4 linked regions of the Drosophila melanogaster genome follow. The protein of the gene in region 1 purifies or fractionates together with the protein of each later gene. This does not show direct contact. Each region holds a gene or a part of one and is shown on either strand. Other genes may lie near its edges.

Region 1 (3,970 bases):
TGTATACACAGCGATTGTGGGGTCTGTGAAAGGGGTACAATTGCACATATGTACGTCTTCATATATATGTACATATACGATTCCCCACATTTGAACGATATGAGATCGTCTCTTCAGTTCTTGGTTTCTCTCGCTCTAAACAAAAGATTGGGGGACGTGAAGTCTAAGGATTGGCAGACATATGCATTTCTAGACAATGTTGTTGCATTTGAGTGCATTCGCTAATTGTAAAAGTTGCCAATTCATCAGCGTCTGAGATCTGAAAAATTATGCTATATATAATTAGTTACTAGAGGGCTGGTTTCGGGCTTTCACCTCTATATACATGGGATAGTATAGTATGGTATGTATATAGTAATCAATATTTAGTCCAAGGGTTGTGAAAGGAAACTTTCTATAAAGAACAGGATACTTGATCGAAAGATGAGCCAGTGGCACTTATTTAAGTATCAATCGACCCGATTAACTTCTGCAGAGACAGTCATGCACCTGTTCATTCAATCATATACAATTAGTTCCCAGCAGGCCCAAACAAACTGAATAAATATACAAATGAACTCGTCTGTGTGTTCTTTAATTTGTCGCAAGTGTGCAAATCAGAAAAATGTGACGAACCGAGCGTTGTTTATCAACAACAAAGAGAAAAAACAGACAGAACATGGGCAATCTAAATCGAGAACGGCACAACATACAAAGGCAAACAAATTGGCGAAGAAGGCACAAACCGGTTGCCACTAAGGGAAGTCAGAGCCAAAAGAAAGCGATGGAACCAAAACCGGTTCATTGAACCTGCACACCACCGGCATCATGGTATAGACACACAGAACGATTCCAGCTCTTTATCACACAAAAAATCATTCTTTATTTATGCCATTTCTGTTTTTAGTTGAGCACAATTACTTGCTTACGGAACGAAATGTAAATAAACATGGCGAGCTATGGTAAATGCAAATGTCTGGAAAAATCGATTATGCGTTTATGCTTAGTTCAAATCGGTTATGTTGCTGATGGATGACATGCTCCCCAAACACTTTAGTCGGTGGCATCGGCCTTGGCCACGGAGAAGGCCTCCGAAACGGGCAGGGTGCCGCTGTTGGCGATGACCACATCCTTGACGGGACGGTCGCGGGCATCAGTGGCCGAGTTCTCGATCTGGCGCACCACATTCATGCCCGACAGGATCTTGCCGAAGACGACGTGGCGTCCATCCAGCCAGCTGGTCTGCTTGGTGGTGATGAAGAACTGCGATCCGTTGGTGTCCTTGCCAGCGTTGGCCATGCTCAGCCAGCCGGCGCCATAGTGCTTCAGCTTGAAGTTCTCATCCTCGAAGCGCTCGCCGTAGATGGAGCGACCGCCGGTGCCGTCGCCCTTGGTGAAGTCACCGCCCTGGATCATGAAGTCCTTGATGATGCGGTGGAACTTGCTGCCCTTGTAGCTGCGGGGTATAAGAGCGTTGCATGATGGTCAGTTTTGTCAGCATGGGAATTTAAATTTAAAAAAAAACTGGGTTTAGAACTCGAAACCTAACCAAAAAAGAACATGCATACTTATAAATTCAGAGAAGAAAAAAGAAATACCCAAGAACTGCACTTTTATAGTATGGTAGACTTAATAACAGTTGGCGTTCTTTGTTAACCCATTAGTGCCGCTTTGTCAACTGATGTATGCGATTGGCCGCTCAAACGCCACGTAATTGCTTCAATCTGAGAGCCCCGCTATAACCTACAAAGTGCCGCTGATTAGCGGCATCTTTTGCTGGCCTAGCGGTACCTGGCACCCTACTATGTTGGGGTATTTTCGGTACTCAAGTACCCTACTCACCCCTCGCCCTGCGGCTTCAGCGCCAGCTCCTTGAAGTTCTCCACCGTCTTGGGCACCGTCTTGCCGAACAGACCGATCTCGATGCGACCAGCGGGCTCGCCGCCAATGGTGATGTCAAAGAAAACCTACGCAATCGGAAGCGGTTTATTATTAACAAGTCATCTCACTTGATTTATGGCGCAGCAAATGTGTGTGTGTGTTTGTGTGTGTATGTACGTGGTGTATGCAGAATGTAAGGACGAAAGTCCAAGGAGCACGCACCTTCTCGGTCACTTTGGGACCCTTGCTATCGTCGGCAACAACGACGCCGGCCACCAGGGCTACCACGAAAACGGATAAGAACAGCTTCATCGTTCTAAATATTCACAGCGCTTCAGTTTATTCCTCAAGCGACGTCGCCAATGGATATTTCACGACTGAATTTTCGGTTTCTGTTAGTGATGTAAGAAAACTTTGTTGCATCGCCAATCGATGTTTTCCATCGTTTTTTATGTTTTTGTCGAAATATCGATGCTTAAGTGTGACCATTCGATGACGATGTCTGATGATCACACATTCGGGCGGAAAATTCAAATTCAAATAGTTAATACGCCGAAAGCATAAGTTAAGGTTTTCGTACGAAGGAACAAAGTAAGTTCGAAGAGTTGACTTTATTGGTATAGTTTTTAATATTTTAGGGATTAGAAGTCCAGTTTGCATTAGCACGTAGCATTCTCTCTTGTTTTATTGACGGTTCTGTACACAAAAAGTAAGTAAAAAAATATGCTTTTATTTATTGGTGTACTGCTATTTGCGTCTGAGATTTGTCCATATCCTTGGCTGCCTTCTCTGCTCTCTTCTTCTCCCTGCTGGCCAGAACTTTCTCCCTGGATTTCTGGGCCCTTTCAGCGCAATCCTTGGGTCGTGTCTTCAGGGTCATATCATCCACGGCCGCCTGTTTACGGGCTGATCTCGAAATGCATCGTTCCATGCAGCTGATGGGCACAAATCTTCCAATGAAGCAACCGCAGTGTGAACAATAGTGATTGATGTCCTGGCGGCCAGACCATTTTTTACTGAAATAAAGTGAACATTACGAAAGATTTATAAAGCTTCATGCAGATGGCCAACCAAAGTTTTGTGAATCCCAGAAATCTCTGCAGGCAAGTGACCAACTCCAGTTGCACCAAACTGGTTCCAGACTTCTCACACGAAGGACAACGGATCCAGGTGGGCTCCTCCTTCAGGTATCCCACTTGTGGCTTGTGGCTGACAATGATGGCCACAATCTGCGGTTCGTCCACGGTCATGATGCGAGTTCCAGCGAGAACGATCGGTGACTGAAAGATGGATCAAATTTGGAGAGATCATGGGAGGGAAAATCAAAATCAGAATCACTCTCCCGATTTCTCTTAACCGAGGCGTTGGTCTGGTAATTAAGTTAGTGCATGGAAATCAAATGAGTTATTCTCTCTGCGTTACAAATGCCATTGGATGTACAGTGTAAAAAGTATAGTGTACATTTTGAGCATTACACATTAAATAGTAAACTTTTATTCGTTTCAAACAGCAGTATATTTATTATTATTATTGAATATAAATTAAATGACAAAACTGATCTACATTTGTTCATTGTGTTATAATAATTCGGATCCGATGATCCTTCTTCAGTGGGTATCTAAAGTTGTGGACGGCGGTATACGCCCAGGTACTCCCCGCAGGCACCGCAGTGATGCCTCTTGGTGCAGCAACGCAGCCAGGAACGCACCACACGGGTCTTGGCCTTGGTCCTGCAATAAGGACACGTAATGTCGTTGGGGCCGGGGCCCACGGCAAAGTAAAGTGGTTTCGGATCCTGAGCCATTTCGCACCGAAAGATGTTGACTGCTTTAAAAACAAACGCAGACTGAGGCTAGCGAAGAGAAATTGTAGGAATAAAATGTTCAAATGATATGCAAAGAGAAAAAAATCGGCCCAAAAAAGAGAAAATGTGATATTTTTGGCTTTATTTTTGTTTCGATGGTATTGCAGTAGTGGGTGGGAAATTGAGTGTTTAGAAGAATTTTAATAAATATGTGAACAATGCTGCCTAGGCGGTGGTTGCCTTCAATTTGAGTGGTTGCCTCCTCTTCATGGAACGTCCAAAGTAACAGCCGCAATTGCCGCAGTA
Region 2 (3,042 bases), on another chromosome or scaffold:
ACGCAGCGAAGTAGTAAACGTATACCATGCCAAACATCCAGTGGACAAAAAGTGAGGTGCCCGGAGCAGCCTTAAAACTCTCTTTACGATCCTTGAGGCTGGCATCTAGTAGGGGCAACGAACAAATGTCCAGCCACCAGCCGCAAATCAGCGGGAGTACTCCGATCTCCAACACCGACAGCAGCGACACCTTGACCACAATATAGCACAATCCAATGAACCAGCAGACTCTCCGCAGGCGGAAAACTCTGGAGAAGAAGTGCAGCACCACCAGGGTCAATCCAATGCAGCAGTAACCAAATAGCGTGGTAATCAGGCCGTGAAAGTGTAGCAGTGGTTTCTCGGGCTGCAAAAGATCCATGGAGCTCAGAATGAAGTTGCCCACGCAGTAGGGACAAAAGGCGAAGGTGAAGATGAACATGGTGTTCAGTGAGATGATCCAGAAGACGTGCTCCAGAAAAACTAGCGAGCCATCGAGTCCGAGCAGGCGTTCCCAGGTAAGCTCCTCGGCAGCCCGATCCCACTCCATGGGATTCCAATTCTGCTCATCGGCATCGGCGTCCACGACGGGAGCTGCAGCCGCTGGTGCGGCATCCTGGGCCTGGGCATCCTGCCCATCGTTGTCCGCTGGAGCCGGCGCTTCATTGTCGTCGGCATTGTTGTTGTCGTCCTGAGGCTGTGGAGCTGCCTCGGCGGCGGGATCAGGCGCAGGATTAGCAGCCGCTGCCTGTAGAGGGGCATCGTCCCGCTCCAGCCAATCGGGTCCGCCGCCATGCAGGATCTGCTCGCGCAGCCAGACCAATCCTATGAAGGACAAAAGTGTGCATGTGACCACAAAACAGCCCCGAAAGGCATCCGATGCCAGGTTTTCAACGGAGAAGATGTCAAAGGGCAGCGTGAGAATCATATCGAAGGAGCTCGCCCGGAAGAGGTACCGATAGGTCCTGTAGGCAGACAGCGGCACCACTCCGAACCAGGCCAAACCGACCAGGGTGTAATGAAGCCAGCAGCGAGCGCCCTCCAAAACGGCGGACATCAGTCCCACAAGGACATCCTTTATCGGCAGGACTCGCGGCATATCCGGAGCATAGATGGGCTGAAAGCTGAAGCTGTAGCTGCACAGCTCGCAGTATTCCTTGTGCGAGTAGCGCATCCATAACATCAGGCAGTCCTGATGAATGTACTTGATCGATCCAGTGCAGATGCACGGGTAGAAAAGAGGCCTATCCGGCTGTGCCTCGCATCTGCACACGCGGCAAATGTCGCCCTGCGACAGGTCGTCCATACTGATAACTTTTTCCCGGATCCTGGGTCTTCAGTTTGACTGAATTACTAAAGTTCCACTGGTCATTTGCGAAATTCGCTGGACAATTTCCGTAATTGACCCGAGGGTACGGGGGTTTTAAGACGATTATACCCGCCTTTTATGTGCGCCAATTAACCTTTCGATGATTACGGACCGTAATGCGATTGTAACACTTGAATTTTAACCGAAAAGTTGGGATATTATTACGACAAAACAAAACAAGACTACTTCTCAAAAAAAGGAGAGCCAATGTGTGCACACCATGAAATTGCTGATTATTTTCTCAACGGAGATGCCAACTAGTTCGATAGATTGAGAGAACGAAATATCGTTATTCATTTTTTAATCATAAATTGAAAATTAAAAAAGATTACATAGTTATGGTTAATAAATATAAGTTTTTAACTTAAATAATATAAAACAAAATTATCATGACCGGGAAGTAACAGTTAATGAAACAGTGTGTGCACACATCATTAGGCAATACCAATCCATCTGGCAACCCCACCACACTCATTGTTGTTGTTCTGATTCTCTTGTCATTATTTTGCAATCAATCGCTGAACTTTTTGCACTGAGAAATTGTAGAAAATAAGCCATGCAGCGACAGATTATTAACATTCTGGGACAGACGACGCGTCGCCTGGCTAGCGGCCAGCAAATTCGCATGCTGTCAGTTTCTGCGCCGCGACAGGAGATCTTCAAAGTCCAGAGCGCCGAGGACTTTGACAAGAAAGTAAAGAACAGCCAGCAGCCCGTGATTGTGGACTTCTTCGCAACGTAATTTTTATATTTTCAATTTGAGGACATGGCAAATTAATGTTTATATTGTAATCCACCAGCTGGTGCAATCCCTGCAAGCTGCTAACCCCGCGCATCGAGAGTATTGTGGGCGAACAGGCCGGTTCCATCAAGCTGGCCAAGGTGGACATAGATGAGCACAGCGAACTGGCTCTGGACTACGATGTGGCCGCCGTGCCCGTGCTAGTGGTGCTGCAGAACGGCAAGGAGGTGCAGCGCATGGTGGGACTCCAGGACGAGGACAAAATCCGGGCCTGGGTTGCCGCCGCCGTCAAACAGGCCAAGTAATAATTGAGAAATCCCAAAAAAAAAGTGGAGGTTGACCTCCTCGCAAATAAAGCTGAGCTTTAGGTTAATTCGGACTTTCGAAATAAATGTTTATTTACCCGTTGAAACGAAAAGTACTACGATTACACACTAAAAACTAAATGGAAAACCAGCCCGGCGTGCCGGGTCGCTTCTTGTTCCTGTCCAGAAATCTGCGGAAACCGGCTTTCGATTCATCCAGCGACTTTTCCTCCTTGGCCTGCTTCTCAGCCTTTTCGGAAAAGAAGTCGGGGAAGACAAAGGACTCCTCCCTGGGCTGGAATACACAAATATCATTGGAAATATCCATTGAATCAGGGGCTTGTAGTGGGCCATACCAATGTTACATAAGCCAGCTTCACGTCGTCTTTTTTGGTGATGTAGCCGTAGGTCTGATCCTTCTTGGTCTCGCCCATGGCAATCCGAGTACGCACATCCACCACCGGCAGCTTGTAGATCTTCTCCAGATAGTTACGCACATCGTACTTGGTCATTTCCATGGACACCGAAAAAGTGACCACATTGGGTGGCTGTTCCTCCGTGGGTCGGATTAGCTTCATCCAGAAGTTGGGAAGGAAAACGCGAAGCTGCGGATTGCCGCGCTGATAGATGGGATACCACCTCGTGGA
Region 3 (6,726 bases), on another chromosome or scaffold:
ATCCTGGAAAATCGCACCCTTAAAGGACCCCAAAAAACATACGAATGCCCCAGGCCATTTACCGAAAACACAAATGATTTGTTTTTCTTAAATTACACCATTTTTCTGCTGGCAACTATAGCAATTTCCGAAAAAGTAACTTGCTTATTCATGCAGGTTTTCGCGACTCTGAAGACAAATGTGCGTTGGAATATAAAATGCGGTTATTATTATTTTCTGTTCTGAAGCGGCGATTGTTGGGCAACATGCTGCTAATGTCTGGCGCAACAAGAGGCTGGCCACTTGTTGCTGGTTGCGAATGTAAACAGAGAAGTGTGTTTCACAAATTCTCTCTTTTGTACACCTTGAAAAATATTTGGTGACCGTTCACAGGGCGGATGAGTAATACTCGCTCTGCTGGCCACAATTTATGACGTTTGCCCCTTGGCAATGTAAGCTGATAAGCATTATAAAGTGTGAAGTCAACTTATCTTTGGCTACGGAGAAATCTGTGCACACACTGCCACTATAATTTATGGGATACCCATATCATGGAAAAAGAATTCGCTCACTTAGGCATTTATTTTAAAATATGTATCCTTTATTCTTTATTGCTCTTCGGTTGCATTCAATCAGCTTTCGCATATATGGTATGTTGTACACAAAAAATACACAGAGATATATAGTTAGAATAATGTGGATTTAAGTAACTCCATGTTGCACAAACTTCAAATGCATAATAAAGCATCAGCTTTAGTTGCATTTAACAGTTCGTGTTGCACGATTTTAATCGGTTTCTTTTTAGTTTTGAGGCGACTTGTTCTTACAATAAACTATTCCATTCTTCAATTTGAAATACACAGCGAAATGCAAACAACTTTCTTAAAGTTAATTACTCAATTGTTAATCTGTTTGAAAATGTATGTTAAACATAGGCAATGGCATTAAGAACCAAACGACTGACTGTCTGACTGACTGGTTGGCTGACTGACTGACTGACTGGCCTAGTGACTTGACTTGGTTTTGACTTGACTCTCATTGAGGAGGACTTAGGCGAAAAATGCTCTTCATCTGCACACATTCCAATTGCAAATAGGGTATCAAAAATACTTATCATGGCTTTACATTACACTTTAGTTACAAAAATATTTAAAATTTAATACCGTTAACAAAAATACTTGACGATCAATTACACTTTTGGAAAAATTCGCTTACACTTTTGGAACAAAACTAAACTCATTTACAAGGCATGTTTGAGGGAAAACAAAAAGCGTATGATGTATGTTGTAAGTTGTGTGTCGTGTGTGTTTGTTGTGTGCTGTTCGGTGTGCCAATTAGGCCCAGTCCTTTTTGATCTCAAAGGTCCAGTCCCACTCCAGGTGTATGTGCTTGTCGTCATCCGTGAAGACCGAACTGACCGAGTAGGTGCCGCGGGAGAATGTGCCTGAAGGTGCCTCCTCGGCGGGCGTCAAATAGAACTGAATCTCCTTCTTCGGCGGATAGGAGCCAACCATATGCTTCATCTTGTCAACTATGGAGTAATGCGAAAACAGTCAGTTTAGTAAGGATACACATTTGCGGATGGGCTGCACCAGCTTACCCACAACTTAAAAAATTATACATTCCGAAATTAGGGTTTGGCATTGGAGATAATGGAATACAAGTTATTCTCAACACATGACTAAAGTTAGTATGGCAATTGTGAAAAAAAGGATATAGGCAGCACTGCAAAATCCCACCAGTATGGTTGTGCCATTGAACCAGCTTTTACCCATTGCTAGAAACAAAACTCGACTAGCCCGCACAAAAGTCAATCAAAAACTGAGGTGTAATACTAACGATTTCGCGTCAGCACGGAAAATTGAAGACCTAGAAGTGCTCGCATAGTGTAACGTATGGAAAATAACTAAAAACAAGTATCTTTTGACCCGGTTTTAATTTAATTTTATTCTTACAATACTAGGGCACTAGGTCAGTAAATAAATAAATCAATTAATAGAAAATTAGGGTAGGACAAAAAAGAAATATAATTGCTTTGCCCTAAGTAAAGACATATAATGTTGATAGAATTGAGAGTGTAAATCTATTCTATATTCTGCCAATTAAAAATACAAATGTCATGTTTAAATACTCACCATTAACACCCAAGCGAGAAGTCTTTTGAACATACTTAAGGCCATGGACTATTTCACGCTGCACAATAAAATCAATGCGCACCTTGTACTGAACACCTTCTTTGATCACAAAAAGCTGTCGCAATAGGGTTTTGATTAACAAAAGTAGTCGAATGGATGATGATGGTTAATGATATTTACCTGCTTTTTCAGCTGACTAAGGTCACCGGTAAGATCCAATTCCATGTCGTCGCGTCCTTCGACAACGAGGGCCAGTTTCTTTACAATAACTTTTCGGGGATCATTGGGTTCTGGGTAAAAATGTTATTGCTTTAGTATATTCTGCACCCTCCACTTTCAGAGGCCAAGTTAACCGCCCCTTACCAACAATAATTTTCTCGGTCTGGGCGGCACCCAGGAGCGCCTCCTTGTAGCGCCGCAAGCTCTCATCCTCCTGATCGGCGGCCATTATTTCCTCGATGGTCTTCTCCGGCGGCGCCTGGTAGTTGGCATCGTGGACATCGTCGTCGTGGTGCTCGGGATGGTGCTTCGTCTCTGTTTCGGCCATGATTGCTAACCTAGAACTGTCCAAAGGCAATTGTTTGTTTATCAATCAATTACATTTAAATATTGCTTCGGATTTTGCTTAGTATGCGTCGGTTTCTCTGGGTGAAGCTTGTGGGTCATAGGCATATTTTTAGTAGTGTGAGTAACATTTTGACGATAATGATGTTGTTTTATACACATATGTATATGCCTCCATTTTAATGGCATGTGCGCCACCATATCTGCTACATCGTATCGGAGTGTATGAAAGTATTCCTCATTCAAAAAATGTAGGAAGAGTGTTTTTTCTTCTGAAAATTGTCGCCCTAAGGAGAGTTGAGCTCATAACTTAACAATGCAGGGAAGAAATTCGAAAAAAAAACCTGCCATCTAAATATATAGTTGAGTAGTTAGTACATTTGTTTCTACAAATTACAATGTTAAATATTGAAATTCAAATAACAACGATCGCAAACATATTCCATATACTTCGCTACTGATTACGTTATCATTCGCTGGCCATAAAGCGGGTTTATTTACTTTTTTGGCAACACGAGTGCCTCCGTTGCGAACAAATGTAGCCACTTCATAAGCCCGTTCAATAATATTGATTAAATTTCAATTATTAACGCATTGATGAACTGACGTGTTCTCTGTCTAGGGGGCGGGGCAGAGAGGGGCGCTCGACCTGCAGCTGGTCCGCTCGCAAAGTAAAAAAAAAGGTTCAACCAAATACGGAGCGGCAGTTAGATAAGGCAGGCGAACTCGACGGAGGGAGAGAGAGCGGATATCGGCATTGAATAATATTGACCAGAACTGGGAACTGGCGACAAAAAGCCAAACCCACCGCCCCCCGGAAAATGGCTTTATTGTTATCTTGCTTTGTTTTCCACTATCTAAATACACGTCGCCAGCTCTCTGTCCATTTTCAACGAATGTTGTTGGGCCAATAATAATTCTCGATTCTCCAGATTTGGCTTTATATATATGTACATACATATGCAGTGTACCCGGGCAAAAAAAATACATGAAATTGAATTGTTATTACTTGACATCGAGTTGTTGTTGAGGTAATAAAATTGTGTCTATACAAAACGATTTTGCAGGCCCATGTGTACATACAGTAGTAATAATGATGTATTTCTCAATTTTATACAAAACATATTTTGAAATTCTCAAAGCTAATAAATATTTATCTATCTATCTATCTGTTTTTTACTTGTAAATGTAAATATTATTGGTGCTTAAAAATCAATAGTTTGAATCTTAGTATCGGTTTTTAGATCTCATCGTAATATTTCCAAATTAGGCATATGAAAAGCACTCACAATTTCTCTCCGTGCTTGTGTGGGAATGGCAAAAAATAATAAACAAAAAATTTTCGGACTAACAACGCAAGTTTGGGCCAATAAATACAATCGCAACAATTAAGGATGGGTGAGAAAAGGTAATTTCAAGAACAATCTGACCGAACTGAAAATTTGAATTCCAAACAAATGTGCCAGCGTCGAAGGAAGTGCAAGCGAGAGGGCTTGCCAGAGAGAGAGAGAGAGAGAGAGAGAGAGAGGACCCCCCGCCAAAGACAAAGTGTGGGGATAATTCAGGGAAAAGTACGAACCATGCCACTTTTTTTTCTTCTCTTTTTTTGATAAAGAAATGTGCACGAAGAATGTTAAAACCCCAGACGAATGAATCACACACACCAGCTCACACACACACACACTCACACTGAGGCCGGCACATGAATCGTCACTGATTTTCAAGTAGAATTTTTGGGAGTGGTTCTTGGCCTGCAGTCACCCAACTACATACATTTGCTATCAATGCCAGCTTGTATTAAATTAATATAATAATATTATAAATATTTTTTTTATGTAAAATGCATTGGAAGGCACCGCACTCACACACACACACAGTTGCAAGTTGGCAACGACGCGCACTCACCTTTTAATATGCGAAATTAATCAAATAGTACGATCTCTGAAAATTAATCACTGAAAAGTAACTGTATGTTATATTTTTAACAACTTTTGATAACTAACTTTTAAACAAAGCAAATAATATAAAATAAGAATTACAAGTGTGAACGTATGCTTTGGTGGACAGAATACCAAAACGCGAGATGGACTTGAAGAAGTCATCCGTTCACACTGCTGTCCAAAAATACTTGCTTTTCGAAAAAGTTTTTAGTTTTGAAACAGCTTCCCCTAAATCTATTTTATACTTTGTAAGTATGGGTTTAAAAAGAAATTATTAATTAGTTTAACGAATCTTGCTGAAATGCAATTTCTAATAAGAATCGCTGTTTGGTCATTGTCTGCAACAGTCTGGCAACGCCGACAAACAGCTGCTTGTTACTTCATCGGCGATTTCGGTGTGCAAGTTGAAAAACACAATTTACTCCGTTAATTTACAATGACATCCCAGTACCTGAGCCAGCTAATAACGGCCGACAAATTGTCCGCCGAGCCCTGGCCCGAAGACGCCACCCTCTACCAGGTAAGGTCCTGGTTTATAGGTCCAGAATCTTCACTAACATTAACCTTTCATTAATGTGCATTAAAAAAAACAGCCGTATGAAGCGGAACAGATCCTACTGCCGGAAAACGCCAGTTGCCTTGCTGTGAAGGCTTACCTGAAGATGTGCAACCTCCCCTTTTTGATTCGGTCCTGTGCCAACGCGGAGCACATGTCGCCGGGCGGCAGGATGACCAAGTTGCCCTTCATCCGCGCAGGAGCATTCATCTTTGCCGAATTCGAGCCGATCGTGAACTTTGTGGAGCAGAAGGAACTGGCCATTGGCAGCTGGCAGGACGAGGACGAGAAGGCCGACATGCGCACCTATGTGTCGCTGGTGGAGAACATCTTCACCATGGCTGAGCTGTACATTAGCTTCAAGAACGAACGCGTCTACAAAGAGGTCACAGCGCCCAGGAACGGAGTCGTTTTTCCCTGGCCCCTCAATCACATGCAGAACTATGGAAAGCGGCGGAACGCGCTGCGTCTGTTGAAGGTCTATCAGTGGGACGACCTGGACATCGATAGCGTCATTGACAAGGTGGCCAAGTGCTGTGAGACGCTCGAATACAAGCTGAAAGAGTCGCCGGAAACGCCATTCTTCTACGGCGATCAGCCCTGCGAACTGGACGCCATCGCCTTCGGCCACCTCTTCAGCATTCTGACCACCACGCTGCCGAACATGGCGCTGGCCCAAACGGTGCAGAAGTTCCAGCACTTGGTCGAGTTCTGTCGCTTCGTCGATGAGAAGTACTTTCAGACGAGGTGCCTACCAAATTAGTTATACGTAGTCGTTGCCTTAAATGCTTATCAATTAAGTTGCTCTTGTCCTTTCTTTTTAACCGCTTATATATGCAATTCTAAATGCCCTTAAAACAAATCGTCGCCGTAAGTCACAATTATTTTGCTACTAGCATTTAAAAAAAAAAGTTGTTCTAGTGATTTTGCTGCCATTAATGTCCAAAAATCCATGTGAATATCATTTGCACAAGTGACTCAATCTGCAAGTTTGTTTAAATGGAATTCTAAAATACTTCTAACGATCTTTACTTCATTTATTTTGCAGCAAATAACTTTTCTGCTAATAAAATTGTGTAAGTATTTGCTATAATACATCAAATAAATTGTTTTCTTAGCAAACCAAAAAAAAAAATAGTCTTGATTTTTGAACATTGCTGCCTTTTCCTTTTCATACTTTTGAAGAAATTGAACTCTCGTTTATGTAAAGACCTTAAATACACATATAGTTTTATTGATTTATTGTTATAATTAATTTAGATTATTATTATGAATGCAATGTACACATCTTTGCATGCAGATGGCCGAACCAATCGCGCCACTTGTGATATTTGCTAACGCAATCATACAAAACAATCAGATGATTCTCGAAAATAAAAGCTTAACAATTTGTCCAGGTTTAGCAGTTGGTCCATTAGCAGTTGGCCCAGTAGAAGTCTTAGTTTCCAGCCTGATTCACTGCCGGTCCGGATAGTTCGTCGTTGCCTGCCGCCGGAGCAGCGCCAGCTTGCGGTGGTACTGGTGGTGCAAACACATGGGCCATCTGCGGCGG
Region 4 (3,578 bases), on another chromosome or scaffold:
GATCACGTAACTCTGCTCTGCGATTTGTGTTCCACGTAAGTGTTTGGAGTTATAGAAGCAAAATATATACTAACTCCCTTTCCCATGTGCAGATCCTTTGATACGCCGGCGGAGTGGGTGCGCCACATGAACAGCCAGCACACGGAGATCGAGTTGGCCATGTTCAACAGCAAGAAGGATGGCGAGCAGAAGGGGTGTGTGTCCTAAGGGCTAGCAAAAGCACACTGATGAACTCTGTTCACTTGCAGCCAGCAGCCACCGCCACCGCCGGCGACCAGCAGCTCTTCCACAGTGTCCAACAGCCAAATGCAGCCAAAGTATCCCAGCTCCACCGCCACCAGATCGACGCACTCCCTCATGCTGCACAAGATGAGCAACAGCGATGCAGTGGCCACAACCACATCTCCTGGAGCATCCACCTCACCGAATGGCTAAGGCCAGCCATAGGGATCAACTTCAAAGAACCATTGGACCATTGGCGAATGAAGCTGAAGGATTCGAAACCGGATGCCCATGGATAAATTTGAAAACAGCCATATTCTTCATTCATTTTCAAAAATCTCAAGTCGTTCCAATAATCAAAAGTGAGATGGATGTTTATATGCAACAGCAAGAACCGTGATCAAAATGCAACCAGTTTGCATATTTTATAGAGCAACAAACAAAATACAAATTGCGAACAAAAAAAAATTAACGAAACTATAAACGAAACTTAGAATGGAAATCGTCAGGCAACGATGCAAAACAAGACAAAGCAAGAAATTCAGAAACGAAAGCAAAGCAACATTTAACTCCAGTGTGTAGAATTTTTTTAAGTGTACGTATTTACTTAGTTTTAGCTATTTATCCCATGTATTTACCGTAACAACAACGCGCAATTGATTCGGGAAAAAAAACGATACAGTTTAATCATTAAATTTTAATGTTTACCATTTGCGGACATTTTTAAAATGAATTAAAAACTAAAAATTAATCATCCACTTGAGTTTTCAAAAGGATGCATCAAAAGAAATCCCATTTGTAGGACCAAAAGCAGCGAAAGGATCTTTTTACATTTTGATAAACAATTAATTCCAGCAGCAAGTGTAGTTGTCATTATTTATTACTTTCCAATTTGGTTTTTCGAATGCAATTACTGATAACAACTATTTATCGCGACTCAATGATGTCAGCAACTCTGTTGTATATGTATTAATACTTTTTTGTATTTTTTGTAAGGCATGAACGGAAATTTCGAGAACTTTTTTGTACATAGATTAAGTTTGATTTCGAAAGTCCGCCGATCGAAACTTTTTACGAAAAGTTCATAAACTTAAAACTCTAAATGTACGTAGTAGTTCCGAGGTTCAATTAAAAACAAAAATAAAGCTCCCCCCAAACCATGTAAAAACAAAATATATCTATATTTACAAACAGGCGTGATTATTAACAAACTAAGTAGATGTACTATGTATAATGCGGAGGAAATGATTGTCTCTTCCCACAAAACAAATCGCAAATGTAGTAAAGCGTTTTAAATCGAAATAAACGTCTGCGATGAGAAATCGTTTTTAAAAGCTAACGAAAACTAAGAGTCACGTCGCAAAAAGCTCGATTATTCTTATTCGCGTTAAAACACAAACAAAAAACTTTATATAAACAGAGCGCCGTCGAAGAGAAAACTCAGTTCGCATTTCACCGTCGACATTTCAACAGTTAAGCGAATTTGTTCAGTTCTGCAATTAAACAAAATGAGTTCTGGTAAACATTTGGCCAAAGGTAAGAGAGCAAGCAAAACCAGTTGTCGCCGCCGCCAAGAGAAACGCCCATGTCATTAGAGTGTTTATAGTATTATTTATAAAACAAGTTCTCCAACATTCAGCGTAATTATCGAATAACGATTTTTATATTTCATAATGTTAAAGAATATTGGCATGAATAACTGGGATTTTTTGGTTAAAAAGTTAGAAAGGTATATTATTTGGTAAATTTCAATACGATCTTTATTCTTTTACAATTGTAGGTAATGCATTAAATTAATTATTTGATTTGTAAAATTTACTTACATTTTTAGCTATAGCTTTCACCCCGATATCAGATAACCCATAATATTTACACTCTAAAAGATAACGTAGCTACAAAATTTGAGCTTTATCACGACTGGGCCCTATCAACATTAACTTAAGTGCAATGACTTGCTAAACAAATAATAATACAGGGGTGGATTTTAGGGTTCCACAAGTGACTCATGAAGTTATTGATTTATTTGTATAACCTAAATTTAACTGGTAAATAAATTCTATCTTTAGGTTCCCCCAAGCCTGTACTCCCTGACGATGGAGTCCTTCGCCTGTACTCCATGAGGTTCTGTCCCTACGCTCAGCGGGCTCATCTCGTCCTGAACGCCAAGAATGTGCCCTATCACAGTGTCTACATCAATCTCACCGAGAAACCAGAGTGGCTGGTGGAAGTGAGTCCGTTGCTTAAGGTGCCTGCCCTGCAGCTGGTGGCGGAGAAGGGTGAGCCCTCGCTCATCGAGTCGCTGATTATTGCCGAGTATCTGGACGATAAGTACCCGGAGAATCCGTTGCTGCCCAAGGACCCATTGAAGCGGGCACAGGACAAGATTCTGCTGGAACGTTTCAGCAGCATCACCAGTGCCTTCATAAACATCCTTGTGCAGGGCACCGGTCTGGAGGATTACTGGACGGCACTTGATATCTTTGAGGAGGAGTTGACCAAGCGGGGCACCCCATATTTTGGCGGCAACAAGCCGGGATTCGTGGACTACATGATCTGGCCCTGGTTCGAACGCCTCTCTGTAATCGAGTTGAAGTTGCAGAAGGAGTACAACTTCAACGAGAGTCGTTTCCCGAAGATCACCAAGTGGATTGCCCTCCTGAAGGCGGACTCGGTGGTGCAGTCCTTCTATGCCACTCCCGAGCAGCACAACGAGTTCTGGCGCACCCGCAAGGCCGGCAATGCAAACTACGATCTGCTGGCTTAGATCGGTACTGAAAATGAAACTATTATATAACAAAGGAGATTTAATAATGTTCTAAAAACAATAAAAACTAAAATATTTTATGTGACAAAGAAATGAATTAAGGCTAGAAAGGCAAGAATTCCGTTCCAGATTCACAGAACGTGGTTCGAAAAACTTAGTTCTTAAAAAGTTTTGTTTTAAACAAATATTTTGGAGCAATATGCAGGTTGCAAGGGGGCTTCACTGTATCCACATGGCTTGGTATGTGTGTCAGCCGCAAGCCACCAAGTTCAGCCGCGTAAGCGAAGCCAACCGGCGAAGGGCAGTGAGCTGCACTTTATAAATCACTCGAATGACAATCGCTATCACCACTTGCATCTCTGGACCCGAGCACGCACATCATGAGTAACGGCAGGCATTTGGCAAAAGGTGGGTAGAGCCAGGAAACCAGGATAATCATAATTGATAATAAATGCGCCCACTAGGCTCACCCATGCCGGATGTTCCCGAAGATGGTATCCTTCGCCTGTACTCGATGCGCTTCTGCCCATTTGCCCAACGGGTGCATCTGGTCCTGGACGCCAAGCAGATCCCGTATCACAGCATCTACATT

Evidence for each region.
Region 2: the proteins of CG2852 (region 1) and CG8993 purify together in Drosophila melanogaster (affinity purification with mass spectrometry, with the first as the bait; one large-scale study listed by BioGRID). This does not show direct contact.
Region 3: the proteins of CG2852 (region 1) and RhoGDI purify together in Drosophila melanogaster (affinity purification with mass spectrometry, with the first as the bait; one large-scale study listed by BioGRID). This does not show direct contact.
Region 4: the proteins of CG2852 (region 1) and GstO3 purify together in Drosophila melanogaster (affinity purification with mass spectrometry, with the first as the bait; one large-scale study listed by BioGRID). This does not show direct contact.

The regions. Positions count from the first base shown.
Region 1 is NT_033778.4:22,644,100-22,648,069, forward strand, and holds CG2852 (uncharacterized protein), read right to left. Parts: upstream 2,246-3,970; 5' UTR 2,173-2,245; coding exon 2,083-2,172; intron 1,947-2,082; coding exon 1,822-1,946; intron 1,436-1,821; coding exon 1,033-1,435; 3' UTR 547-1,032; downstream 1-546. Other genes in the region: CG30195 (uncharacterized protein), read right to left, coding at 2,594-2,876, 2,932-3,110; CG34446 (uncharacterized protein), read right to left, coding at 3,479-3,664; CG34445 (uncharacterized protein), read right to left, coding at 3,890-3,970.
Region 2 is NT_037436.4:2,370,378-2,373,419, forward strand, and holds CG8993 (uncharacterized protein), read left to right. Parts: upstream 1-1,821; 5' UTR 1,822-1,904; coding exon 1,905-2,086; intron 2,087-2,148; coding exon 2,149-2,395; 3' UTR 2,396-2,499; downstream 2,500-3,042. Other genes in the region: CG1317 (uncharacterized protein), read right to left, coding at 1-1,285; mRpL23 (mitochondrial ribosomal protein L23), read right to left, coding at 2,532-2,690, 2,752-3,042.
Region 3 is NT_037436.4:19,926,766-19,933,491, reverse strand, and holds RhoGDI (RhoGDI), read right to left. Parts: upstream 4,750-6,726; 5' UTR 4,584-4,749; intron 2,678-4,583; 5' UTR 2,662-2,677; coding exon 2,478-2,661; intron 2,405-2,477; coding exon 2,295-2,404; intron 2,230-2,294; coding exon 2,115-2,229; intron 1,802-2,114; exon of another isoform or gene 1,755-1,801; coding exon of another isoform or gene 1,650-1,754; exon of another isoform or gene 1,580-1,649; intron 1,511-1,579; coding exon 1,314-1,510; 3' UTR 562-1,313; downstream 1-561. Other genes in the region: CG46462 (uncharacterized protein), read right to left, coding at 1,650-1,754; CG8004 (uncharacterized protein), read left to right, coding at 5,055-5,138, 5,212-5,937; Grasp65, read right to left, coding at 6,613-6,726.
Region 4 is NT_037436.4:8,517,224-8,520,801, forward strand, and holds GstO3 (glutathione S transferase O3), read left to right. Parts: upstream 1-1,661; 5' UTR 1,662-1,730; coding exon 1,731-1,758; intron 1,759-2,288; coding exon 2,289-2,986; 3' UTR 2,987-3,072; downstream 3,073-3,578. Other genes in the region: CG6765 (uncharacterized protein), read left to right, coding at 1-35, 93-194, 249-435; se (sepia), read left to right, coding at 3,367-3,394, 3,451-3,578.